Linked DNA regions of Arabidopsis thaliana. The protein of the gene in region 1 purifies or fractionates together with the protein of each later gene. This does not show direct contact. Each region holds a gene or a part of one and is shown on either strand. Other genes may lie near its edges.

The links.
Region 2: the proteins of GLB1 (region 1) and AT3G15980 purify together in Arabidopsis thaliana (affinity purification with mass spectrometry, with the first as the bait; one study listed by BioGRID). This does not show direct contact.
Region 3: the proteins of GLB1 (region 1) and AT4G34450 purify together in Arabidopsis thaliana (affinity purification with mass spectrometry, with the first as the bait; one study listed by BioGRID). This does not show direct contact.
Region 4: the proteins of GLB1 (region 1) and AT2G21390 purify together in Arabidopsis thaliana (affinity purification with mass spectrometry, with the first as the bait; one study listed by BioGRID). This does not show direct contact.

What each region holds. Positions count from the first base shown.
Region 1 is NC_003075.7:819,918-824,090, forward strand, and holds GLB1 (nitrogen regulatory P-II-like protein), read left to right. Parts: upstream 1-1,628; 5' UTR 1,629-1,818; coding exon 1,819-2,017; intron 2,018-2,109; coding exon 2,110-2,155; intron 2,156-2,257; coding exon 2,258-2,285; intron 2,286-2,675; coding exon 2,676-2,763; intron 2,764-2,854; coding exon 2,855-2,922; intron 2,923-3,002; coding exon 3,003-3,072; intron 3,073-3,192; coding exon 3,193-3,228; intron 3,229-3,321; coding exon 3,322-3,377; 3' UTR 3,378-3,652; downstream 3,653-4,173. Other genes in the region: AT4G01895 (systemic acquired resistance (SAR) regulator protein NIMIN-1-like protein), read left to right, coding at 40-462; AT4G01897 (dihydroorotate dehydrogenase), read right to left, coding at 570-731, 1,178-1,252, 1,418-1,549. UniProt on the Arabidopsis thaliana protein: Participates in sensing carbon and organic nitrogen status and regulates some steps of primary carbon and nitrogen metabolism.
Region 2 is NC_003074.8:5,412,489-5,420,252, reverse strand, and holds the start of AT3G15980 (Coatomer, beta' subunit), read left to right. Parts: upstream 1-1,759; 5' UTR 1,760-1,939; coding exon 1,940-1,942; intron 1,943-2,314; coding exon 2,315-2,335; intron 2,336-2,420; coding exon 2,421-2,482; intron 2,483-2,645; coding exon 2,646-2,700; intron 2,701-2,883; coding exon 2,884-2,920; intron 2,921-3,032; coding exon 3,033-3,358; intron 3,359-3,459; coding exon 3,460-3,591; intron 3,592-3,681; coding exon 3,682-3,830; intron 3,831-4,011; coding exon 4,012-4,080; intron 4,081-4,315; coding exon 4,316-4,466; intron 4,467-4,554; coding exon 4,555-4,640; intron 4,641-4,936; coding exon 4,937-5,141; intron 5,142-5,275; coding exon 5,276-5,416; intron 5,417-5,556; coding exon 5,557-5,631; intron 5,632-5,728; coding exon 5,729-5,905; intron 5,906-5,983; coding exon 5,984-6,075; intron 6,076-6,163; coding exon 6,164-6,280; intron 6,281-6,500; coding exon 6,501-6,615; intron 6,616-6,714; coding exon 6,715-6,786; intron 6,787-7,026; and 6 more. UniProt on the Arabidopsis thaliana protein: The coatomer is a cytosolic protein complex that binds to dilysine motifs and reversibly associates with Golgi non-clathrin-coated vesicles, which further mediate biosynthetic protein transport from the ER, via the Golgi up to the trans Golgi network.
Region 3 is NC_003075.7:16,469,063-16,476,735, forward strand, and holds the start of AT4G34450 (coatomer gamma-2 subunit, putative / gamma-2 coat protein, putative / gamma-2 COP), read left to right. Parts: upstream 1-1,673; 5' UTR 1,674-2,893; coding exon 2,894-2,939; intron 2,940-3,163; coding exon 3,164-3,312; intron 3,313-3,414; coding exon 3,415-3,528; intron 3,529-3,618; coding exon 3,619-3,819; intron 3,820-3,898; coding exon 3,899-4,000; intron 4,001-4,434; coding exon 4,435-4,542; intron 4,543-4,622; coding exon 4,623-4,856; intron 4,857-4,995; coding exon 4,996-5,246; intron 5,247-5,378; coding exon 5,379-5,550; intron 5,551-5,623; coding exon 5,624-5,779; intron 5,780-5,850; coding exon 5,851-5,901; intron 5,902-6,083; coding exon 6,084-6,221; intron 6,222-6,300; coding exon 6,301-6,498; intron 6,499-6,579; coding exon 6,580-6,711; intron 6,712-6,795; coding exon 6,796-6,969; intron 6,970-7,165; coding exon 7,166-7,405; intron 7,406-7,538; coding exon 7,539-7,673. UniProt on the Arabidopsis thaliana protein: The coatomer is a cytosolic protein complex that binds to dilysine motifs and reversibly associates with Golgi non-clathrin-coated vesicles, which further mediate biosynthetic protein transport from the ER, via the Golgi up to the trans Golgi network.
Region 4 is NC_003071.7:9,150,077-9,157,412, reverse strand, and holds AT2G21390 (Coatomer, alpha subunit), read right to left. Parts: upstream 5,474-7,336; 5' UTR 5,204-5,473; intron 5,014-5,203; 5' UTR 4,986-5,013; coding exon 4,778-4,985; intron 4,373-4,777; coding exon 3,878-4,372; intron 3,790-3,877; coding exon 836-3,789; 3' UTR 507-835; downstream 1-506. Other genes in the region: AT2G21385 (uncharacterized protein), read right to left, coding at 5,661-5,753, 5,904-6,025, 6,102-6,149, 6,238-6,340, 6,439-6,513, 6,650-6,766, 6,855-6,920, 7,013-7,111 and 1 more. UniProt on the Arabidopsis thaliana protein: The coatomer is a cytosolic protein complex that binds to dilysine motifs and reversibly associates with Golgi non-clathrin-coated vesicles, which further mediate biosynthetic protein transport from the ER, via the Golgi up to the trans Golgi network.

The DNA.
Region 1 (4,173 bases):
AACTTTCTTCTTCTTCTTCTTCACCATCGAAAAGAGATAATGAACCAAGAAGAAGAAAAAACAGAGAACAAAAGGATCAACGAGATCGATGAAGACGAAGAAGAAGAGTTGGAGAACAAGAAGATGGACATGTTCTTCAATCTCATTAAAAACTACCAGGATGCTAAGAAACGAAGACGACAATACTTAACTCAAGATTCTGGCGACGTTGCTTCGATGCCGACCAAGAGATCCGACTACAGCATTGTTCCTGTATTCCGTGCTGAAGATTTTTCTCACTGTATGGACTTAAACCTAAAGCCATCGAATTCGATTATCTCCACCAAGAACCAAGAAGAAGAGAAGCAAGAAGAAGAAGAAGAAGAAGATGATGAAGAAGAAGAAGATGATGATGAAGGAGAAGAAGAAGTTGAGAAGGTGATGAGAAAAGATAATGGTTTAGATCTTAATCTTGCATTGTAATAATACACTTTGTTTTTTGGTTCTGTTTCGTGAATAAGAAGAAAAAAACTTTCTTAATTACATTATTAAAAGAGTGACATTGCAATTAAACTTAAAGCAGTGAATCATCAAGTCAAGAAGCTGCATGTGAAATTTCCATTGATGAATGTTAGCTTCTCAGCTTTGACGACAGAATCTAGAGGAAGAGGAACGAAGGTTTTGTCTGGACCATAGAAGTGAGGGAAGCTATTTACTTCATCCACAGCTTCATAGATTAATCCATCTCCAAGCTGCCAAATAAAGCACATCAAACAAAAACAAAAATGTCAATCTCTTCTTAGCACTAAAATGTATCCAAAACATCAACGTAGCATAACGATTCAAATGACAATTTTGTAAGAACTTTACATCAATGTCCATGACCATCCTAAGATCATGGTTCTGCTACTTAGATTGTGTTTATCCACAATTGCAGCTTGGTAAGAAAAATGTTTGAAACCCATTTTGTTTTCAAGTGTACAAAATAACACTAAACTTTAGCACAAACCACACATAACCAACTCTAGCTAACTCATACCCACTTTAGCTAACTGCTCCTCTACTTAAACATGGAGCTAATCACGCAATAAACTAACATTTACCAAATCAACCACTCACCAAACTAGAGGATCCCTAACACAAAAATGATCATAAATTTTCTATCCACATATGTTTCAAGTTAAAGGTAAAAGTCAACCTTCTTAGGATCGACTTGAAGAAGGTAAAGATACTCCTTCACATCCACGAAAAAGTTCTTCAATGTCAATTGTACCTAGAAATCAGAGAATCGATTTCATCACAAAAGCAGTAAAAATCTACATAAAAGTAATGATTTTTCACAAGTTCAAACCAAATTGCCTAAGAAAATGAGAAAATTTTCGAGAATCTTCATCACCCAAATGAAAAAGTTGAGATCTTTATGGGAAGAGAGAAAGACCTGATCAAGTTTGCTGAGATGATAATAACAAGTTGATTTATCAATCTCTGCACCATAAGAAGATCCATTCTTCTTAAACTCTTCCCATTCTTGTTCCGTACTGATTCTGTATATGAACTCTTCCTCAGCCATTTTTGTTTCACCTTAACCAGTGTGAGATCGAAAAATCGTAACTTTAAAGCAGACTTGATTCGATTCCATTCCATCAGAGCCACTTCACTAAACCGATCTAAACCGGAAATCAATTTCTGTACTAAACCGGTTTTATTAGCTAAACCGACTCGTCGTCAACTTCGAAGTTCCACTTCCAATAATTACCTCCTTCGTCGTCGCTTTCGATGGTCGAAATCAGTTGGTAAAGAGGAAACTCTGAAAGTTGTGTTAAAAAAAAAACTAGAATCATGGCGGCGTCAATGACGAAACCCATCTCAATAACTTCTCTCGGTTTCTATTCTGATCGAAAGAACATTGCTTTCTCTGATTGCATTTCGATTTGTTCTGGATTCAGACATTCCCGACCATCTTGCCTCGATTTGGTCACAAAGTCACCGAGTAATAACAGTCGTGTTTTACCTGTCGTTAGTGCCCAAATATCTTCTGGTAAGCCAACAGTAATGAGTCTCTGATCCTTTTTTCGATCAATTTGGTTTCTTTTGTGTGTTCATAGCATTTCTCTTTTCATATTTTGTTAGATTATATTCCAGACTCGAAATTTTACAAGGTGGAAGCAATTGTCAGGTAAGCTTCTAATTTTTGTTTTGATGTACCAATCAAAGCTCATAATTGTGACAATGTTGCTTGTTTCTTCTCTGTTCATGTATGAATGTTGGACTGATAAAGACCATGGAGAATCCAGCAAGTTTCATCGGTAAGATTTTCCTTGTTCTCAACTTTGATATGTGAAAAGATTTGAACTTTGCTAATCACTTGAGGTTTCCATTATTACTTGTTATCCATGAAGAGTCTATAGTGTTTTAAATGTGGATTTTGAATACTATAAAACAGAATTTTGAGAAATAAGTAAGAGTAGTAGTTCTTATCGATGCATGCGAAAATCAAATAATGTCAGTGAACTCGACAGGACTGGTCAAATCTTCGTTTCTCTAGTGTTTGAAATGTGAATTTGAATTGAAGGGTTTATGGTTCTCATAGTTATTGTAGATGGTACTTGTTACTTCCTTAGTATATAGAGATGATTATTACACTTTTGAAAAATCCAAAACTAAATCTTGAGTTTCTCTGTTTCATAAATAAATAGGCTTTACTGAAAATCGGGATTCGAGGTGTTACTGTTTCTGATGTGAGAGGGTTTGGTGCACAAGGAGGTTCTACCGAGAGACACGGTGGTACGTCCGTGAATTCAAGAATTGGTTTGATGATTCTTCTTATTGTCAAAATGTGTTCATGACTTTTCTATACACATTGTTGCATTTGCAGGCTCTGAGTTCTCGGAAGACAAATTTGTTGCTAAAGTTAAGATGGAAATCGTTGTTAAGAAAGACCAAGTACGTATATGGTTAAAAAAATCGATACTTCATAAGCGAAATTCGAGTTTGAGCCATTACTTTTTTTTTTCTTGTTGCAGGTGGAATCTGTAATCAACACAATAATTGAAGGAGCAAGGACAGGAGAGATTGGTGATGGCAAGATTTTTGGTAACACAAAAAGTTTTCTTGTTACTCTTTTCACAATCAGATTTATGTTTGATACCTCAAATTGTAAATGCAAAATGAAATTACTCAGATTGTGATTGTTTCTTGTTTGGTTATATACAGTTTTGCCTGTGTCAGATGTCATAAGAGTTAGGACAGGTAAAAACTTCAAAAGCCATATTCTTTTTAAAAGAAAGACACAGATCTTGGCTTGCCTTAAAACGTGTGTACATGTTGATAAAACATTTTCAGGTGAGCGTGGGGAGAAAGCAGAGAAGATGACTGGTGATATGCTTTCACCGTCTTAGGAACAAACAGAGCTCAAGAATGGTTTTTTTTTTTTTCATTTCGGTCTCTAGATTCTGCGAATAATAATGAATGGAGTCTGTGTTTGGTTTCATGTTGAATCGATCAAGATGTGTTTTTAACTGTACATGAATTATGCAGAAACATCTGTCCTGGTTCTCAGACATCGAAACTCTGTTCCTAATAAAAGCCGAAGTCCCTGTTTTTATTGTGGTACTAGATTTTAATCACAATTTTTTTTTAAAGTTAGTATATATAAAAATTTGCAAATTGTATCTATCTATTAAATATTTTTATTTTATAGTTTACAATTGTTATTAAGTAACGTCCTGCCAAACCCGTACCGCCAACCCGTCCCGTAAAAAAATTTATTTATTTTATTAATGTTGATTTTATTTATGATATGTTTATGAATCATTGTTTAAATATTTTGTAATTTTGTAGTAATTAATTGCTATCAAATATCTCTATGGTTTGCGGCTTATAATCGAATTGTTATAATCATGAAAAAAAGCAATATCAAAAATGATAATTTTGTAGTGTTTAAATCATATTAATTATTTTAGAAGTTTTACTTTAGTAACTAATCGTATAGTTAATGCGGAGAGATTTTGGGAAGGTAGTTAAATGCAAATATTTAATTCGAAGATTTACTTTCTAATTATCAAAAATAATTATTAAATATCAGTGGCAGCCACTGTAAATAAGTCCCAACTTGAAGATTTATTTCACAGAATGGCTGCAAAAATATATATGTAGATTCTCAAACAACAATGCTTTGAAGACGCCGTTGTCCAA
Region 2 (7,764 bases), on another chromosome or scaffold:
TTTTGTTTTGCAATTTCTCATTAATATGAAGAGCCTGCATGAAAATTCGATAAAATGGGACAAAAGGCATCCAAACAACTAATCCCTTTGGGACTTGATGTGTGATGCCTCGAGTCCATCTATGTTACCAGTAGAAGTGAAATAAACTATGCAACAAGTAATGCAAGTATATATTCATTATGGTCTAATCATGATATATTCTTTTCGACACACGTACATATATTGTTGGTTAAATAAATATGAAGGTTTATCCTTCAACCAAGTGAATATGTTGTCTATAAAACTTGGTAGGAATCATGAAGGTTTATTCTTACATACATCATCCCTTTTCAAAATATGTTTAAAGCTTCTAATGCAATTTTGGCTCACTTTCTATCAATCTATATATGAAAGGTTAATCCTTCAACCAATACGTTGTATACTATTTTTGGTAGGAATCATGAAGGTTTATTCTCACTTACAACATGCCTTTTCATTTTTTTAAGTTTCTAATGACATTCTGTCTCACACTTTCTATCAACTTTCTTTAATTTGGTCTTAAACTCGATTACCTATGTTTATTTTAGGGTAATATGCCAATTAGAATTCTATTTGAATATAAAACCATGATTAAAAAGACATTTAGAAAGGAGTAGAAAAGGGCTAAGGAATGGATAAATTAATGATGGTATAAACACGAAAACGATTCAAGCGGCTGAAATGTCAATTATTTGTTTAACTTGCAATAATGATGCTTTAGTTACGATTTTTCGCAAAGCTAAGCAACCTAGTAAATGATATTTATGTATTTAAAATTTACAACCAAACAGAATTTGGAAAGCTATAAATACATCAAACAATTCCTTTTTTTGGTAAATTATATATATATATATATATATATAAGATGAATATTGCGTGTTATCCATTACCTAAACTTAAGCAACTATAACCAATTTAACAAAAAGGAAAAGAAAAAGCAAACTATATAAAAGATGAATGCTATATAACTATATAAGCTATGTTGGTGTTGTAACTCTGAATCCATTAAAAGATTTTCTCTTAAAATTGATAATGTTAAATTAACCAAGAAAATCAAGTTTTTCATACGTTAGCAATGTCACTGAAAGAAACATGACCCAAAAAAAGGAGTGAAGGTAAGTGTACACAAGTAGCATTTAAAGAGTCGGGCCATAAACTCTCGTTTTTTAGTCTGTGACATGGGCCATTCATTACCTAAGGTTTATGTTTGGGCTACTTCACAGCCTGAACCAAGTATCCTTCCATCACCATAAATCGTTGACATGAAATATAGGAATTCGTATATGAGGCATTTGTGTTTTCTTTCATATTTTAGAGGCAAAATACAAACTAATTTTTTTTTAGAGAAACGTTAAAAAGAAGTCGCCATATATTATTTTTCCTCGTTTAACATTTTTTTTTGAAAAAATTGAATAAATGCCACATGTCATCATTTTATTGCACAAGTGACTTGTGTTTAAAAGTGCAAGGAATTTTCAACATAATATATTTTTAGGTTGAATTGTCAAAAAATGCAACATGTCACGATTTAATTGCATATCTGACTTGTCCTCTACATAGTATAAAATGATATTGTTGATGAAACTTAAATCATAAATACTTCAGGCTAAAAATAATCCTCACACTAATTTCACTTTCATAGCAGAAAAAGAAAAAAGAAAGAATTATTTACTACTTTTTTTTTTTTCATTTTACGACGACGTTCATAAACAGAACCAGTGGCACTCTCGTAAATATCTTCATCAGTTCCTTGAAGCATAATTTGTGAAATTTTCTTTTAATAATTTTCATCTCCGCCGTATTAATACAAGCTCTCTGAACGCACTCTACGACGAGCCTAACGTCTTTCTCCGATCGCCGGTTAGCAGATTCAAGCGAGATACGAGATCCGACGAGCAGATCTTCTGCTTAATCTGTAAACATGGTAAGTAGTCGCATCTCGCATTCTTTATTTTTCTCCAGATCTCAATTGAATTTTGCTTGCGATGCGATCTTGGATATTGCATTTCATCTGTAGTAGTTTTGCGTAATTCAAGTGAGATCGTGGAATCCGAAATCATATGGTTTAACATCGCCGTCTTTGTGTTCGTGCGCCTATAGATTGTAGTTTTCGTGAAATCGAGTATAGTGTCTGGCATTTGGTTTTTGAGGTTGAATTTGGATTTTGATCATCGTGTTTTGAAAAGATCTGGTGTTTTCTGGGGGTTTTAAAGCTCTCTATGAGCAACATTTGTTTGCGTTCTGATATGTTTAAGTCTGGAACTAACTATTGTTCTTCTTCTTTATGTTGCAACAGCCTCTCAGACTAGATATCAAGGTATTGCTTATCTTTCAACTTTCTGCTTCTGTTATTTTATTATTATAGCTGTGGTCATAATTTGCTTTTGTTATGTTTTGATCAGAGAAAGTTTGCTCAACGATCAGAGAGAGTCAAATCTGTTGATCTGCATCCTACTGAACCATGGTAATTTCAAATTTGATTCTGCCATCTTGCAACTTAGTTATATGTTATATTTTGGATGTGTTGATGGAATAACAATTTTCACAGTTGCTGTGGGTAGTACTGTATGTTTGTACTTTTATTGCTGCTACAAATGACTGACTTAATAAACAACACGGTGTTACAGGATTCTAGCAAGTTTGTATTCTGGAACCGTGTGTATTTGGAACTACCAGACACAGGTGGGTGAATATTTGAATTTGTTTCTCTATTTTATTAATATATATTTATGCTTGCCATGACATGGGATAACCAAAACATCACACATTTTATGAGTTCAGAGGGCTGTAATTAGTCTTTTAGATATAGTTTTTATGATTTCATTTCATCTCGTCTAATATCATTTTAATATGACTTATACTCAGACGATTACAAAATCCTTCGAGGTGACGGAATTGCCAGGTATAACAAGTTTATGAGCATCTTCTGATTTCATTGTTATAGATTTTTCACTTGCTGTATATTGCCTTGTATAGTCTGTCGCTGTTACTGAAATTTATATATGACTTTGCAGTTAGGTCGGCCAAGTTTATTCCGCGCAAGCAATGGGTTGTGGCTGGAGCGGATGATATGTACATCCGTGTATACAATTACAATACAATGGACAAGGTCAAAGTATTTGAGGCTCATTCGGATTACATTAGGTGTGTAGCTGTCCATCCGACCCTTCCATATGTGCTGTCATCTTCTGATGATATGCTCATAAAGCTTTGGGACTGGGAAAACGGTTGGGCTTGTACTCAGATATTTGAGGGACATTCGCACTATGTGATGCAAGTGGTATTTAATCCAAAAGATACCAACACTTTTGCCAGTGCTTCGCTTGATCGTACCATAAAGGTGTGTAAGAGGTCCAAGCACTGAGCTTTTATGGCTTAGTTAGCACGAGGTACTTTTAAAAGGGTTTTCTTAGACTAATTTTCATGCTTGTTCATATTCAGATATGGAATCTTGGTTCCCCAGACCCAAATTTTACACTGGATGCTCATCAGAAAGGAGTCAACTGTGTAGATTATTTCACAGGGGGTGATAAACCCTATCTAATTACCGGCTCTGATGATCATACTGCTAAGGTATGCTTCTGGTTAAGCTTCCAATATCTGTGCTTTGATTCCCCTGAGAATTATGTATTTGCAGATCGTTTACTAGTGGTACTTTTTCAGGTATGGGACTATCAAACCAAAAGTTGTGTCCAGACGCTAGATGGGCACACACACAATGTTTCTGCCGTATGTTTCCATCCAGAGCTTCCAATAATAATCACAGGTTCTGAGGATGGCACTGTTCGCATTTGGCACGCCACTACCTACAGGTATTTTTACCTAACGTTTTCCTGTCAAAAGACATAACAATGCTTACATTTTTTGGGGTTTTTTAACACTTGAATACACTTTGTTCACATGCGGTTATTTCTTGTATTCATTTTCACCATAGGTTCGCTTTCTCTATTTTGTCGTTTGATTTGTTATCTTCGATTCTCTTTCTCTTTTCAGGCTAGAAAACACATTAAATTATGGTCTCGAGAGAGTTTGGGCCATTGGTTACATCAAAAGTTCTCGGCGGTGAGTTTTTGTACTTTTAATACTTAATGCTTATTAGAATTTTGATCAAAAAGTAGATGTTCTCTATTGGTAGAATTTTTGTTTCTGTCATTATTGTAGCTAGTTTTCCTCTGAAATTGACGATTTGGAGAGATAAGGGCGTTTAGAGTGGCTAGGAGTTTTTTAGGGATCAGTGTTAGCACCTTATTAAACTGATCATACGGGACCATCAACAACGAATGTGTTTGCTTTACAGGGTTGTGATTGGATATGATGAAGGAACCATCATGGTTAAACTTGGACGAGAAATTCCTGTCGCTAGCATGGACAGTAGCGGAAAAATCATATGGGCTAAGCATAATGAAATTCAAACCGCAAACATCAAAAGTATTGGTGCAGGTTACGAGGTCTAGCTCCTAATTGTAACTCTTGTATTCTGGCATGGGAAAACCTGCGTGACTCAGCTATTTATTTGTACTGCCTGATGATTTTAAGCTTTCATCTCTCTACCTTAGGCTACTGATGGAGAAAGACTTCCCTTGTCTGTTAAAGAGTTGGGGACCTGTGATCTTTATCCACAAGTGAGCGTTACTATCCAGCACCTTTGAAACTTTCCTGTTGTGTTGAATTATCATTGGATCTTTTGGGGTAAACACTTTCGGTGCATGTCCCACTTAAATGAGTGTGATGGACTTGTGCATTGAAGTTGTGGTGGGTATCACTAGAGCATGCTTCAGCTAAATCTGTGGTTTTTATGGTTACTTAAAACAATATTATATTTGAAATGAAGCGTTAATAGATGATAAAAATGAAACTCTGTTTCATATGAAGTCCCAAGAGTGTGGTCCAGAATAATTATGTCTTGCCTCACATATAGCTATTCTAACTCTCAGAGCTTGAAGCACAACCCTAATGGGAGGTTTGTCGTAGTCTGCGGTGATGGAGAGTACATAATCTACACTGCTTTGGCGTGGAGAAATAGATCTTTTGGGTCTGGCCTGGAATTTGTTTGGTCATCTGAGGGGGAATGTGCGGTTAGAGAAAGCTCATCAAAGATAAAGATATTCAGTAAAAATTTCCAGGTTTGCTATTCTCATTATGGCCTTACTCATACTATTTTGTTGGAGTATGATTCTAGGGTTGAAGAAATTGCAGATGCTTGCAATAGAGACAGCTATTACTGGCTTATTATATTAATAAAAGGTGGTGTTTTCAGGAAAGGAAGAGTATCCGGCCTACTTTCTCAGCTGAGAAGATTTTTGGAGGAACCTTGTTAGCAATGTGTTCGAATGATTTCATCTGCTTCTATGATTGGGCCGAATGCAGGCTGATTCAACAAATTGATGTCACCGTAAAGGTATCCAATTACCTTGTCTCTGTTGTGAGAAGTTAGCATTCATCACTTTTTTCCAATTCTGTCGTTACATTTTATTTTCAGTTGAAAGTTGTCCCAATTAGTGTCTTTACTAACTCTTTACTCCCATGAAAAATTTGCAGAATCTTTATTGGGCTGAAAGTGGTGATTTAGTAGCCATTGCTAGTGATACGTCATTCTACATCTTGAAGTACAATGTGAGAATCTGTTCAACCTCAAATGTTCAGCTATTATTTTCATTCCCACTTTCGTGGATTGTTCAAAAGCTTACTCTGGTGTTCCTCGCTATTACAGCGAGAGTTGGTTTCCTCGCATTTTGATAGTGGAAGACCAACTGATGAAGAGGGTGTTGAGGATGCTTTTGAGGTTCTCCACGAGAATGATGAACGTGTTAGGACCGGTATATGGGTTGGGGACTGCTTCATTTACAACAACTCTTCTTGGAAGCTTAACTATTGTGTTGGAGGCGAGGTACTCAAGAGTCTATTTTTATTTCTAATCATCTTTATGAGCTACATTATATAATAGCTGCTAATATACCTGTGGCAGGTAACCACAATGTATCATTTGGACCGCCCAATGTATTTGTTAGGCTATATTGCCAACCAAAGCCGGGTTTACTTGGTAGACAAAGAATTCAAGTACGTTCCTTTATATATGTTTATTTGAGACTGTTTTATCTTGCATACATAATTTGCTAACATATTTCCCTTTTTCTTGGGAATGCAGTGTCATAGGATATACCCTGCTGCTTAGCCTGATTGAATACAAGACTCTTGTGATGCGAGGCGATTTGGATAGAGCCAATCAAATTTTACCTACAATTCCTAAAGAGCAGCATAACAAGTATGTTATAGGTTATTTTGGTCTAAATTTTTTGCATTCACTTATAATTCATTCTTTACTACTGCATTTTATCTCTTGTTGCCTGCTATGTCCTATGAATGTACTTTTGAAGAATATTGTGGATATGTTCTGTTAGAGATATTGCCCCCCTACCAATAGGTTTTTCACTGTTTTGTGTGTATCTCTTTTAGTTTGATCTGAAAATGTTTTTAATATTCAGTGTTGCTCATTTCTTGGAATCTCGGGGAATGATTGAAGATGCTTTAGAAATTGCGACAGATCCAGACTACAAATTTGATCTGGCCATACAACTGGGTAGACTTGAAATTGCAAAGGTAATATCATATGTGATGCTTAATTGCTTAGACATTACTTTACTCTACTCTTTTTGGAAGTAGAATTTTTTTTCTTATCTTTGTTTTCCATGCTTGTAGGAAATTGCTGAAGAAGTACAGAGCGAGTCTAAATGGAAGCAGTTAGGAGAGTTAGCCATGTCCTCGGGGAAGGTACATCTTCTCTATAAAAATGTTGCCCAATGATTTGTAGTGGAAAATAGAAAAATAACTTTCTTTGCAAATGCTATATATCAGTCAGTTTACTACTTTACATTGTATCTATAGGAGCAAATTGGTATATTTAGATCTTACAATGCCAATGAGCTTTCTTCTAGCTTTTGCGGATTCATTGCTGATATCTACTACTTACTAAGTGATTCTCTTGCATTTGTGTGTGTTCTATCATGATAGCTGCAATTGGCCGAGGATTGCATGAAGTACGCTATGGATTTGAGTGGTTTGTTACTACTATATTCTTCTTTGGGAGATGCTGAAGGGGTGTCAAAACTTGCATGCCTTGCTAAGGAACAGGGGAAGAACAATGTTGCCTTTCTTTGCTTATTTACGCTGGGTAGATTGGAAGATTGTCTGCAGTTATTGGTGGAGAGGTATTTCATTACTGTTCACTTGGCCGTTTGGAAAAATCAAATATGTGTCTTTTGTTATCTTTATGACAAGAAATTATCTTGACAGTAACCGGATACCAGAAGCTGCTCTGATGGCACGTTCTTATCTTCCAAGCAAAGTTTCGGAGATAGTAGCTCTATGGAGGGAAGATCTCAGCAAGGTTATTTTCGCATCTTTTTTTTGTTTACTGTGTCAATGAGAAAATTCATCATGTGGCTTTAAATTGCCTTTGACTTGTCATCAGGTTAATCCAAAAGCAGCTGAATCTTTAGCTGATCCTGAAGAGTACTCAAATCTTTTTGAGGATTGGCAAGTTGCTCTTTCTGTTGAAGCGAACACTGCAGAGACAAGGTATCCGAGCACTTATTTTCTGCTATTCGCATTTTTCTTCCATGGTCGTTATGGCTTTCGAACTGTAGTTCAATAATTATATATGTACCTAGATATGATTGTACGGATGTGATGGATGCCTTAGGAAAAGAACTTCATACTTGAGCCACTCATTTTTCCCATGATTATGCA
Region 3 (7,673 bases), about 16 Mb from region 1:
TTTCTGCTACTCAAATAAGAAAAGGAAACAATCAAAATTTCCTTTTTTCATTGAACAAACGTGTACTTATAAATACACCCCTTCTCTCTTCTTCCTTGAGAAAAGTCTCCATTCTCTCTTCTTCTTCCTGGAAACCTAAACCACGTAAGGATTTGCTCTGAATCTAAATATTGACGTGGAGAAGACGCGATCTTACTAATTCTCCATTCTCTGCTTCAACTTCACCGTAAGATTGAACAAACCTTTACTTATATATACCTCTTCTTTCTTGAGAAATCCAAATTCTCCATTCTCTCTTCTTCTTCCAAACCAAAACCTAATTCTCCATTCTCTGCTTCAACTTCACCGTAAGATTGATCGGTTGATAAAGCGGCTCTTTTTGGTGATTGATCTCTGTTGTGACTACATCTTAGGTCAATTCAGATTGCTTTCATATCAAGTCTCTCCTAATTTCACAAGATCAAAGATCCCGGCCATGGATTCAGTTGTCGACGGCGAAGGAGAACACAAACGACGACTAAGGATGCGAAAGTGGGAAAGAGGGATATAACGAAGACATGGACAATGAAAGCAACGAGCAGTATAGAACCAAATCAATGGATCATGATCTGTGTTTGGTACTAGGTGTTTCCTTGGCGTCGACGAGATCTTTTGAAAATCTTGTGTTTCGTCGATATCACAAGCAAAGGTATTTTCTTTTTTCCTTTTCTATTTTTAATGATTCATTTTTTACTAAATAAAAATTTATTTTTAGATTTTTTTATTAAGTGTTAAAATTTTCAATTTTGTGTAAATTAATTTAAATTTTTAACACTTGTTTTTGTTTTTATTAAAAACTGTTTTTAAACCTATATTTTTATACTACTATTAAAGTTTTAAGGTTTTTCTTATTAAATATTAAATTTTTAAATTTTGTGTAAACTAATTGGATACATCATCCAATCCCCTAAGAGGTGTTCTAGGTTCAATAGATGGTTTACACATCATTTAAATTTTTAACACTTGTTTTTTATATTTATTAAATAAATGTTTTTAAACCTAAATTTTTATACTACTATTAAAATTTGAAGTTTTTTTTTATTAAGTGTTGAATTTTTAAATTTTGTGTAAACTAATTGGATACATCATCCAAACCCCTAAGAGGTGTTCTAGGTTCAATATGGTTTACACATTATTTAAATTTTTAACACTTGTTTTTCTTATATCAAAAATATGTTTTAAACCTTTATTTTTATACTACTATTAAAGTTTTAAGTTTTTTTATTAAGTGTTAAATATTTAAATTTGTGTAAGCTAATTGGATACATCATCCAAACCCCTAAATAGTGTTCTAGTTTCAATATGGTTTACACATTATTTAAAGTTTTAACACTTGTTTTCCTTATATTAAAAAATGTTTTAAACCTATATTTTTCTATTACTATTAAGATCTTAAGTTTTTTTTTTAATTTTGTGTAAACTAATTGGATAAATCTTAACTCCTAAGAGGTTAGGTTCAATATGGTTTACATATAATTTAATTTTTCTTATATTAAAAAATGTTTCTATTTTTATTTTACTATTAAGATTTTAAATTTTTTTTTGTTAAGTGTAAAAAATTAAAATTTTGTGTAAACTAATTGAATATAACATTCAAACCTGTAAGAGGTGTTTATAGGTTCAATATGATTTATATATAATTTAAATAGTTTGCTATTTTGTTTAGAATCAAAATATTTTTAAATGACATGTTGTAATAATTGACCAAAAGAAATTAGTGTGTGATTTTGTTGAAATGCAGAGTACAAAGCCTTAATTTATACCAAGTTATGGTATCTATAACGTATATGAATACCAAAATTTTATTATTTTTAATTGGTGTTGTATTTTATAATTCGAAATAATTAGGGGAACGGGCAAAACCTCTCTGTTCTCTCGCTTATATTTTTTTTAGAGAGAAAGCAAATCAGTTTCAACGATCGGATATTTTCTGGTGTTAGCCGTCCTGACTTTTTGGGCTTTCTGTCCGATATCACCGGCTCTGGTAGCGGTGTTGGTTGGCTCTAGTCCGGCAGCGTCTTGTTCACATAACCGGTGGTTGCTGGCTCTTGGTTTCTCTCGTCGATGTAGATCGATTTTTAATCTGTGTTTTTTTATTTTCATGTTTTGTTTTTAATAATTCTCATCTGAGACATGTTGGTGATAGAGTGAATGCAATCTCGCTTTCTAATGCTTCTTATCCGATCTGTTCTTTTTTAAGTTTTGATTTACAGAAATTTTTGGAGAAATTTGAGAATGATGTTGAAGAAAAGAAGTGGATTCTGTTGTTAATTATCATAGCCTTAAGCTGTTGTATATTTAACATGAGCCTCGATTGCTTTTTATCGGTGAAAAAACAAAAAGATCCATGTTCTATGAGACTATCGACGGTGATTCTTTCACCGAAATCGGTGCTCAGACGGCGAAAATGAAGTCGGTTCGCTTTAGAGTACTCATCTGACACGTATATTAATATATCGACATGTGGTTTGGGATAGAGTCAAACTATAGTTTCTTCTTCTATGAAAGACTCTCTGTTGGCCTATTTGGTCCTAAATCGTTTCTGTAATCGCGGACTTTTCTTTAAGCTTTGACTATCTTGATTAATACAATATTTCTCTTGGGACAAAAAAAAAATAATCTTAGTATTTCTTTAATATTTTTTGTTTGGGTATGGGCTATTGGGCCGCTTCGAAAAGTTCACTTTCTCTATCGATCTCTCACAGTTTCTGAGTTCTCTGACTCAAAAACATATAGTAGAAGAAAACGATTAGAGATCTTCTTCTTTCTCCTGTTGCATCTGAAGATAAAGGAAACAGAAAGCGCGAGATCTGAGTGACGGAGTAATTTCAAAGGGAGGTTTTCGAGATCAGAAATGGCGCAACCCCTCGTGAAGAAAGACGATGATCACGACGATGAGTGTATGTGTTCTCTCTTAATCTCCTTATAATTTTCGAATCAGCTGGTTTTCTGCAAAATGTAGATCCAGATGTTAAGCTTCTAGATCTGTTATCATTCAACAGTCGTGATTGTGATTTGGTTGTGTAGATCTACAATCTCAAGTCCGATTTAGTTTTGTTTACCGCATTCGATCCCGGTGTGAATTGCTTTGCTTATTTCGATTTCTGATTTTTTGTTGGATCAGTGGAGTATTCTCCATTCATGGGAATTGAGAAAGGAGCGGTTCTTCAAGAGGCTAGAGTCTTTAATGACCCTCAGGTTGATCCTAGACGATGCTCCCAGGTCATTACGAAGCTTCTTTATTTGCTTAACCAAGGGGAGTCATTCACCAAGGTCAGTTAATTTTTTTGCTTATACTGATTCGATGTCATGCTTATGGAGAATTGAATTATTGTGTTCTTATCCTCTCGCGATGGTTGTTTGTTTCATATGCAGGTTGAAGCAACGGAAGTTTTCTTTTCAGTTACAAAGCTTTTTCAATCAAAAGACACGGGTTTGAGGAGAATGGTCTACTTGATCATTAAGGAGTTATCTCCATCATCTGATGAGGTCTGTAAATTTTACTCAATTTCAATACGAACATCGTCGCACTTATTGTAGGTATATTTTCTGATAAGTTGTTGGTTTTTTCGCCCATAGGTTATCATCGTAACAAGCTCTCTGATGAAGGATATGAATAGTAAAATTGATATGTATCGAGCAAATGCTATCCGTGTCCTCTGCCGGATAATAGACGGAACCCTTCTCACTCAGATTGAGCGATACTTGAAACAAGCCATTGTGGATAAGAATCCCGTTGTTTCAAGTGCAGCTTTAGTCAGTGGGCTTCACTTGCTCAAGGTACCTTTTACACACCAAAACTATTAGGTAGCTTCTTAATTGTAATGTTATGCTTATATTCGTATATTGCTGTTTTCAGACAAACCCAGAAATTGTTAAAAGATGGAGCAATGAAGTTCAAGAAGGTATTCAATCCAGATCAGCCCTTGTTCAGTTCCATGCCCTAGCTTTGCTCCATCAGGTTAGTTTGTTGCATTATTATCACCGAAGTCGATTGGTCTATGTTTCTACTCTTTGTTTAATTAAACAGCCACTGAGAAGAAGTATCTCGGAAAATGAGAGGTGTTACTATGTGTATTGGACTAGATTCATAAATAATAAGTTTTCTGTAGCAGCATCGTAGCTCTTTACTACGGCCTTTTCCAGCAATTTTAGTTTCTTGTGAGGTTTAATCTGTGTCTGGAGTCTGTCTCAGATACTGCTGATTCTAGCATATGTAACTAATTAGGTTGGTTAGGACAACCTATTTATGTGTCTAAGATGTACGAGTTACCAAATGATATGTATTGCTGCTGTTACGTTGATTTAAAATGACTCCCAACATGATACACTCTCAATCTTTGATCTAATAACTGTCAATCTTTGATCAACTTGATAATCTTTCATCATATTCAGATACGCCAAAATGATCGCTTGGCTGTTAGCAAATTGGTTGGTAGCTTGACCAGGGGATCTGTCCGCTCTCCCTTGGCTCAGTGTCTTTTGATACGTTACACCAGCCAGGTTATTCCTCTCTTCTGTTTGATCATTTGATAAGTGGCTGATTGTATATGTGTTATTTAGCTCTGGTTTCTAATATTCAGGTTATCCGTGACATGGCCAACCACGGTCAATCTGGAGAACGTCCGTTCTATGAATTTTTGGAGAGTTGCCTGCGCCATAAGGCAGAAATGGTGATCCTTGAGGCTGCCAGGGCAATTACTGAGCTTGATGGTGTGACAAGCCGAGAACTGACTCCAGCAATCACTGTTCTTCAGCTCTTTTTGAGTTCCCCCAGACCAGTGTTGAGATTTGCCGCTGTCCGGACTCTGAACAAGGTTTGCAATGCTTTCAACTGTTCTCTTTGTACATTGACACCGAAATGATGTTTTACTATTCTGGGTAGATTCATCATTACCTTTATCATGAGGATGAGGAGATATTTCACTGTATACTAAACACAAGTTTGAACCACAGGTTGCAATGACTCATCCTATGGCTGTCACCAACTGCAACATTGATATGGAGAGTTTAATCTCTGATCAAAATAGAAGCATTGCTACACTCGCAATAACCACACTATTGAAAACAGGGAACGAATCAAGTGTAGAACGTTTGATGAAGCAGATAACTAATTTTATGTCAGATATTGCTGATGAGTTCAAAATTGTGGTCGTGGACGCAATAAGATCGTTGTGTGTGAAATTCCCACTGAAATACAGATCCTTGTAAGTAAAGTTTTAGGGTTTGTTATTTGTAGTTTTGGTCTCGAGCATTTCTATTTTTTTGAATGATTAAATATGTTATGGTATCTTTTTAGCATTTGGCTTATGATTGATCTATCACCTTTTCATTTGTAGGATGACCTTCTTAAGCAACATTCTTAGGGAAGAAGGTGGATTTGAGTATAAAAGAGCAATAGTAGATTCTATTGTGACCATTATCAGAGATATTCCGGATGCAAAGGAAAGTGGACTGCTTCATCTATGTGAATTCATTGAAGATTGTGAATTCACATATCTTTCAACACAGGTAATTATTCCATCATCCATCTGGGGTTGCTATTAAAAACTTATGTGTTATTGAAATGTTTATTCTCGCACAGATCCTTCATTTTCTGGGAATTGAGGGGCCTAACACCTCAGATCCAAGCAAGTATATACGATATATATATAATCGTGTGCATCTAGAAAACGCCACTGTCCGGGCTGCTGCTGTTTCCACACTTGCAAAGTTTGGGTTTATGGTTGAATCCTTGAAGGTATAGTCATCATAACAACCATTATTTTTATTTTCCGTTTATCTTCTTTGACTGATGATAATGCTCGACAGCCCCGGATTACTGTTCTATTGAAGCGTTGCATCTATGACAGTGATGATGAGGTGCGTTCCTAGTCTTAGTCTAGAAAAGCATTGCTGTTTCTGTATGTCTGTTTGTTTTGAGTCGTTGCATCATCAAACATGCATGCATGTGTTTGCCTCTGTAAACATTTTCGGATGCATGCAATGCAAGTTGTTTGATGATTCCTTCCTTGCTCATGAGTCAGACATCTTTTTATCTTAAGGTCCGTGATAGGGCAACACTATATTTGAGTGTTCTTGGTGGTGATGGTACTGTTGACACTGATAAAGAGAGCAAGGATTTCCTATTTGGTTCCCTGGAGGTTCCTCTAGTCAACATGGAAACTAGTCTGAAGAATTATGTGAGTTAATCTATTTCTCGGTTTTCTCCTTTTCAATATTCTTAGGACATCAGTTATCTTATATCTGGGATTCCTGCAGGAGCCCTCTGAAGAAGCTTTTGATATCAACTCCGTACCTAAGGAAGTTAAATCTCAGCCCCTTGCAGAGAAGAAAGCCCAGGGTAAAAAGCCCACTGGTCTTGGTGCACCACCAGCTGCACCTGCTTCTGGTTTTGATGGCTATGAAAGACTTCTCTCATCCATTCCAGAGTTTGCCGCCTTTGGAAAACTTTTCAAGGTTAGGGGCTGATTTGTCTTCTGTGTTATTCTAATGTTAATGGCTTATCTTGTTTGCTTTAACTTGTACTTTCTTTTTCAGTCTTCTTTACCTGTGGAGCTAACTGAAGCAGAAACAGAATACGCTGTCAATGTTGTTAAGCATATCTTTGACAGTCATGTGGTGTTTCAGTACAACTGCACTAACACAATACCAGAGCAGTTGTTGGAGAGGGTACTGAACATTGGTGTAGAATATTAGTGTCAAGCATATCTTATCTTTCTTTCCTCATTTAATTAATTTGGCATGGGGTTGTAGGTCAATGTCATTGTAGATGCTTCAGAAGCTGAGGAATTCAGTGAAGTAACTTCAAAGGCCCTAAACTCACTTCCTTACGATTCACCCGGTCAAGCCTTTGTGGTTTTTGAGAAGCCAGCTGGGGTCCCTGCTGTTGGAAAGTTCTCCAACACATTGACTTTCGTTGTTAAGGAGGTACATGTTAAATAGGCTATTCACTTCCATCTTTTTATTTACTTACACTGAAAATGACCCCATAATACTTTGTGGAGAACTCTTATAAACAACGACTCATTTGGAGAGGAGTACCAGAACGACTCAAATTAATCACAGAAAACAAAGAAAACTCTCTAACTACATTGTTTGTGCTTTTATGAATGTGTTAAAACAGGTTGACCCAAGCACAGGTGAAGCAGAAGATGATGGAGTAGAAGATGAGTACCAGCTAGAGGATCTTGAGGTTGTAGCTGGAGATTACATGGTGAAAGTGGGTGTCTCCAATTTCAGGAATGCGTGGGAAAGCATGGATGAAGAAGATGAGCGTGTAGACGAATATGGCCTTGGCCAAAGAGAGAGTTTGGGAGAAGCTGTAAAGGCTGTCATGGATCTTCTTGGCATGCAGACTTGTGAGGTTAGTCTCTTCCACTTTTTTCTCATACTCTACTGAGACTTGAGGGCTAAAATTATTGTTGATAAAGTCTTTTTTGAGTATATGACCATTTGTTGTGTTCCTGAAATTGAAACTGACACTGGATAAATAACAGGGGACGGAGACAATTCCGCTCAATGCAAGGTCACACACGTGTCTATTGTCAGGTGTGTACATAGGCAACGTGAAAGTGTTAGTGAGGGCACAGTTTGGAATGGACAGCTCAAAGGACATTGCAATGAAGCTGACA
Region 4 (7,336 bases), on another chromosome or scaffold:
TTTTAGTCTTTAGTGTTTTGGACCAGATCACGAATGTTTAATGTTTTGGACGAGAACTTGAGATTCGTCGATTGATATGGATGGTGTTCATCATAGGATTCTGTTTATCCAGAAGTTGGAAAGCTTTTTAGAATGCAGTTTGACAGTGGACAAAACTCCATCATTCGTGTGCCGGAGGGGGTTCCATGACATGACTGGCATGACTATCAACGGTCATGTTTCGCTAGGAAGCGTTCATGTAGTTGCTTTGAGGATCCATGAAGCAGCTACATGATCTTGATAGTTTTGGAAGACAAATGTGTGGAAAATTCTCTCACACTCAAATTCAAGCGACCGGACAAATTAAAAAACAGAAAAGAAGTAAAGAGGCAGCTGTGATCGAGTCATTTCGAGAGTTTGTCCGTGAGCTTATCTACCAGTCTTAACGGTTCATCTAACTAACCACATTTATTGGATATTTCTAACTTTTTCGATAATTTTATAAGTATTTGGAATAGTAAATTAGGCATCAACTGAAAATTCACCAAAAGAAAATGGATACAATTCTGAAAATTTATAAAATATTACGTCTATATTTCTCAATCGAGTTTAAAATCCGATAAGCCTAAATGAAATGTCCTGAGACTGTAAAAATAAAATCAAACAAAAAGAGATAAAGCAAGAAGATAAAGTTCTCATGCGTTTGTTACTAAGATAAGAAACAACATAAAGACTTTAAAGAGTAATAGAAGTTGCAGCGGAAAATTCACAAACACCAAAAGCTCAACACTCTTCTTCCATAAAAGAGCATCTCGTACTTACCTCACGATTGAAGCACATAATCATTCTGACTTGTTCACCGGACTTGAGAGGCAGAGCATAGCAAGCCAGATGCGTCTGCGCCAATGACTGCAAGATCACAGACCGAGCAAATGTTACCTTCCTGGCTTGGTACAAACCGGGCAGTGCAGTAAGGACATGCAACGTCTTTCTGTCCTTTGTAGATTGGCACATAAGTGGACCCGCATATCACAAACGGGTTTCTAAAGTCGTAGTTGAGTGTTGTTGCATCTGTCATGTTGCGTTCAGCTGCTTGCATAACTTGTCTAGCCGTCCTGGCCTGGCTCTCAATAGTTGGGTTTGTATCCAACAAACTTCTGGCGAAGTGAGCAGCAGTAGCCATGTTCTTTGACTTGTAGCAGACGGTCATTGCACTGAAGTACGCGAGCCGTAGGTGAGGTGTTTGAAGTTTACAGTGAGTGAAGTAAGCAGCGAGCTCTTGCTGCCTCACCGGATCATCTTTCATCTCTCTCCTCTTGAGCTCCAATTGAAGACCGAGGACATATTCTTTAACAATGATGACCAGTTCCTTAACCTCATCTACTTCTCTTCTTGACTCAACTACCACCAATGGGATGGTTTGGAGAATAGAGAGGAAGACACGAAGAGCCTCAGATAGTTTCCCAGCTGTTGTAGCTTTGTAGCCGGATTTGAGCTTTGCTTCAAGCTGAGAGAAATCAAAAACAAGAGCTGGCGGGCCACGGACGTTAGGACTGGAAGACTCACTCCATCCACGCTCAATGGCAAGAGGAACCACAGGAGATGAAGAAAAGGCACGCAGATAGCTATGGCTCCCACTGAACAGATCAAGAAACATCGATTTCAAAGGCGCAAAGTTCTTAATGCCAAGCTGCCTGTGGAGCAAACGCATTGCAGTGTCGAAGCTTCCTGCTGCAGCCTGCTCAGCAGCAAGGGAAGATTTCTGACTCCAAATCTGACTTACGGGCATACCTTGAGGAGGTGTCACAAAAGTAGATGAACGTGCGTTAGCAGAGGCTTTAGGAGTGTCAAGCTCTGGTGGAAGATCCAAGTCAAGTCCCCATCCACCTTCCTCGTCGTCTTCTTCTTCACCTGCTTCTGCACCATCCAATATGGCTTCGATGTCTGTGTTCTCCATTCCATCAACATCGAATTTGTCAAGTCCCTCACCCCAGTCGCCTTCAACATCTTCTTCTTCTTCATCAACAGCCCCTCTGTTTGCACTCTCAAGTCCTCCTTCAAATATTCCTTTCATCACTCTCAGTAGAGGCCAATCACCACCACACATGATGGGAGACGGTGGCATTAAAAGCGATGGAGTCTTCCCTTCAGGCAATGAAGGCACATTGTCTCCTAGCTCAATTGCTAGTCGCTCAGCAATGTCAGTTAAACCATGAACCGAAGCTGTGATATAAGCTAGAGGCAAATGACCAGCATTCTCTAGTATCTTAACACGCTCTTTAACATCTCCTAGGTAGAGTGCATTGTGAAACTGACCCATTACATTGTTCTTCACCTCTGCAATCTTCATCAACTTTGACAGCTTGTCTAAATTGCCAGTAATGAGATATAGAAAAGATAACCTCTCAAAGTTCTTTGTCTGCTGGTACGCAAACTCAACAATTCTAGAATTTCCTTGACGAAGAGCTTCCACTCCGAGTCTATACCAGTGGTCTTTCTCATTAATCTCTGTAGCGGATGCAACAGCTACACTGATGTTGCCACTTTCAAGAGCCAAGTTGAATCGGATCCTCTCGTCTTCAACAAAGTGTAGGGCAACTTCAGGAAATCCTTTCTGCTGAAGATAAGCGATCATAGCCTGTCCACATAGCTGGGAGTTCTTTATCATGCTCATGACATGATCATATTTCTTTCTCAGTAGTGCAAGCTTGAAAATGTATTCGGTTGCATTAATGGTGATAGCCCTGTTTTTCCCATCCCGGTCCAAGCAAAAGATTGTATTTCCAGACACCTTGGTGATGTAGATTGGGACATCCAGGGTTCTGATGATTCCACTATCTCCATTAGGCAGACAGTACTTGATGTGGTTCAGAGTAGTGTAAATGAAGACACCATTGTCGTCCCATGCTCCACTTTTCACACGTATTGTCTCATGAAGCGTGCACTGTAGGACAAGTTTTTTGCTCGCAATAATGATAGTATGTTTGCTGAGCAAAGCAACACTCTCCATATCGTTAGACCAAACAACGTACCTAACAAACGGTGTCTGAAGCTCACCAAGAACAAGCCTTTGTTGAAGGTCAAATATAACCACTTTATCCTCAGATCTACAAAGCAAATTTCCAGTCCCAGCATAAAAGATAGCATCTGTGGGAATAGGTAAAGAACTCTTTTTAACCACCTCATTCTTTAGATTCTTCACTAACACCTGGCTGGTGCTTTTCTCCAGAACAGCAAACCGATTTCGAGCAATGAACACCGCAGAACCCCCTGTCCCCCTCTTTGCATCTTGTACAACATCACTCCTGCCAACGCTATCTTTCGGTATGATGTACAACTCGTAAGAACCACCATCCAGATCTGAGCAGATTAAGACTGCATTTTCTGTCGGACTGTAGGATAAAGTCCTCGGACTTTGATTCAAGCTTGGGGTACCAGGACGCCGTATAGGAATAACTTGGGAATCTTTTTGAGTTGAATATTCATAGTACCGCAGAAATCTATCTTTGGCATAGAATAACGAATCACCACTCAAAGCAAATGCAGGACGTTCTCTCTCAAGTTTGAAAACAATCATACCATTGTCATGTCCTGCTGCAAGTAGATTAATCTCAGGGTGAACTGCAAGAATCCAGAATCGGTCATGCTCACGACGAAAAGTTTGGATTCCAGTTCGCTTGGTAGCATCCCAGACACGGATGCTTTTATCCTCAGAGTTTGACACGATAATGTCCTGTTTTGCATGGAACATAACGGATGAAACGTTATTCATATGACCTCGCAATGTATCCACCTCCCAAGCTTTAGTTTCTGCAACAAAATTGAAACGCATCAGTACCTCAATGATTCATAAAATTAACTTTCTGTGAAGAAGAAGACAGATATCCATAAGAAATACCATTCATACGCCACAGCTTTACTTGGCGGTCATCGGCACCAGAGACAATGAGAGGAAGTGTGGGATGAAAAGAAGCCCAGTTGACTCCTCTATCATGACCTTCAAGGACGTACTTAACTATAGCGTCAACCCCTCCAAAAAGATCAGAATTCATCTGACTAAATCGCATGAGGTCATCAGCAGGAGATGCTGACTTCTTCTTAAGAGCACCAATGTCCCAAACACGGACAGTCTGATCCAGTGATGCTGATACAACAAGATCTTCCTTTGGATGGAAAGAAGCACACATAACATAATGATTGTGACCAGTCAACACGGAAATACAAGTCCTAGACTGCCAGTTCCAAATGCGGATAGTCTGATCGTCACTAGCACTCACAATCCATGGGTTTTCGTGGTGAAATTGGACAGTGCGGATATAATCAAGATGCCCGAGAAGAGTGAAAAGACACCTGTGAGTTTTGTAGTTCCAAACTTTAATCTTGTAATCATCCCCTGCAACATCCAATGTAATCAATGCCATCAACTACATATGAGTAATGTTCTGTAAGAGCATTATAACTGTAACGAAGAAGAATCCAAGCCATTTGCATTTCTAGTTGTTTGAGTACTTACTTATGTTCAAATAAAATACTATGCAACATGTACCATAAGATCTGGTTTCAATGCACTAGGTCCAAATCATCCAATATGTTATATAAGTAACTTAAACACAAATTATTTACTCCAGCTGGGACTATAAGAGCTTAAGTCATCCATTAAACAAAGGTTGGGAGACCAAGCTAGATCTAGGAACCGAGGAAGCTAACTAGCTAAGGGTTAATACTTAAGCAGATCAGGATTTATCGATCATGAAAGTGTAATAAACAGACTTATTGGCCTACCAATAACAAAGCATACCTCCAGAGACGAATAAAGGCTGTGAGTTGTGGAAATGAACACCACGAACAGGTCCTTCGTGCTCATCAAATCTGTCGATCAAAGTACCCATACGATAATCCCAGAGCTGGATCACACCACTGTGTAAACTCGCGAGAATCCATGGTCGTTTAGGGTGGAAACTCAGACCCTTAACTCGGTTACTCTTGGTCTCGAACTTGGTCAGCATATTCACAGATTACGAAACAGAAACAACTCTACAAAAACCAGATCAACAGAGAATGAAAATCATGGAGAAAGATCAGTTCAAAGAAATCGAAAAACCCGCAAAAGGAAGAAAAAAAACGTAATCCACGTGAAATTGAAAACAGATCTAACGATAAGAAGCAGCAAGATCCGAGAAATCGAGATTCGTACAATGAAGAAGGAGAAGAAATAGAGATTCACCTCAGATCAGATCAGTTCACAAGGGGAAGCGATCAAGCTCAGCTTCACGGTGACGATCAGTAGCATTACCAGAGAAGCGTGGATGCGAGAGCAAGAGAAACACAAGGATCGTCTAGAAGAAGAAGAAGAAGAAGAAGACGGTGAGATTCAGTTTCGTCGTATAGATCTGAATCCCTCCGCTCAGTTATCTCTGTCTCCAATTTGCGTCTCGCTAATTTAATTGGCATGAATTACTCATTTTTACTTTTATTTTATATGGAAGCATCAACTTTACATTTTTTATTCCAAGATAATTAAAATCTGTAAAATTTTGACTACAGAGCTTCATATTTTTAAATCAGATAACACTTCAAATGCTCAATCAAAAAATTATTACATGAGAGAAAACAATATATTAATTGGGGTTATTGAACTGATATTACACAAAAATGTATAGATAAATACATGATTTACGACATTAACCCTGGAGTAATTTCATAATTTCATTAGCCCTGGACTCGATTCCTTTGAGATACTCGGTCAAAATTCGCTGCTGGTATGAACCCCCTTCCTGGTATGATCAGAATAGTTGTGGTTAGAATGATGAATTTTAGAAAACAATATCTGGTTAAAACCCCAACCCAAAACCCGGTTAGCCTCGCATTCACTCCTGAAGAGAATAATAACAATGCAAGCAAATGTGTCATGGTATGTTACTTACAGTTCGAATCAGTGTGCGCTCGATTCGTTTCTTGATAACAGCAGATAGCTCATCAGGTGTGATATCTCCTTTTCCGATTGTTAACCCGTCTACGAAAAGCTTGTTCCATTGTTCCTCAGGAGCTGAAACACACATAATAAACCGATGTGAAGTCTGGCTGGGGTCTATAGTACATGGAAAAGTGGTTGCAGAACAGACCTTTGATCAGAGTTTCAAGAAAATGCTCGGCTTTTACAACTTCGTTCCCTGTGACAATAGCTATAGTGGATGAGATTATGTTCGTAGAAAATGGTTTAGAGTGACTTGGCATAGTTTTCAAAATTGGGCAAATCACCTTTCTTTGCGTAGCTACGCTTGGAGAGGATAGTAGCAGAATAGAGTTGAAGAACTTTTTGCAGCATAGCCAATAACCCTGGTTTGTCTTTATCTTCTTTTGCCTGAAAACAATCGTCAGCCTCAAACATTCAAAAGAATACATCTATTCACTGTAAAGGAAAGACCTCAGAAGTGAAACAAAACAAATTGTAGCACTTACCTGCCGGAGCTGAGCATTAACTTCTGAAAGAAATCCTTCATCTAATTGCCCTTCTTTTTCCCGTTGTATAATTTCCTGTTAATACACTGATCTCAGTAACCATGACGATATCAAATCACAGAATCTAAGACCAGATAACCCTTCTGAATATAGGTTGTATATATAAAAAATGTGTAGATGTAGTAGAAAGTGAAGAACAACTAGTATAAACCTTTTTCATTAGATTGATGGCTTCAGGATCTCTTGGCGGCCATGAAATCTCTTCCACTCCATCTATAGCAGGTCTTAAAATCCCTTTCAGAATATCAGTAGACGTCTCTATCTTTTCCTAAAGGGATATAATGAACTCTCAGTTATCCCTGTTTAAGTAAACGCTGAAGAAGAAGAGACAATAAAACCACAGAAGAAAGAGAAACCCGAGTCTTATTCACAACACAGTCAACTATAGTCATCACAGTTGTAGCTAACTCCTCATAGTCCTTCTGTAAGAAACAAACCGTATTCAAAGCATTAGCGGAAACAAAAGAGATCAAAAGTCTGCTCTATCATTGACATAAACAATATAAACTCATGCCTTGTCATCTTCTGATTTACAAGTATCCGACCTAGCTGCTAGTCTTATCCAAAAAACCTCATCAAAAGCAAGGATATTTTCAACAACAATCTTCTCAACCTGTTCAATGAAAATGGCAACAACAACAAAACAAAACTCAATTTACTCAAGATAATAGAGCAAAAACACAACATTTATACGATGCATATGACATGTTTCCTTACTTGTCTAGGGTTTGCATCTCTAAGAGCATCAATCATCCGATCGATTTCGACAGTCTTCTTAAAGGCATCTTCTGGATCTCCCTTGACTGCACAGATCAAAGTTCTCCTGTTTTATTAGACC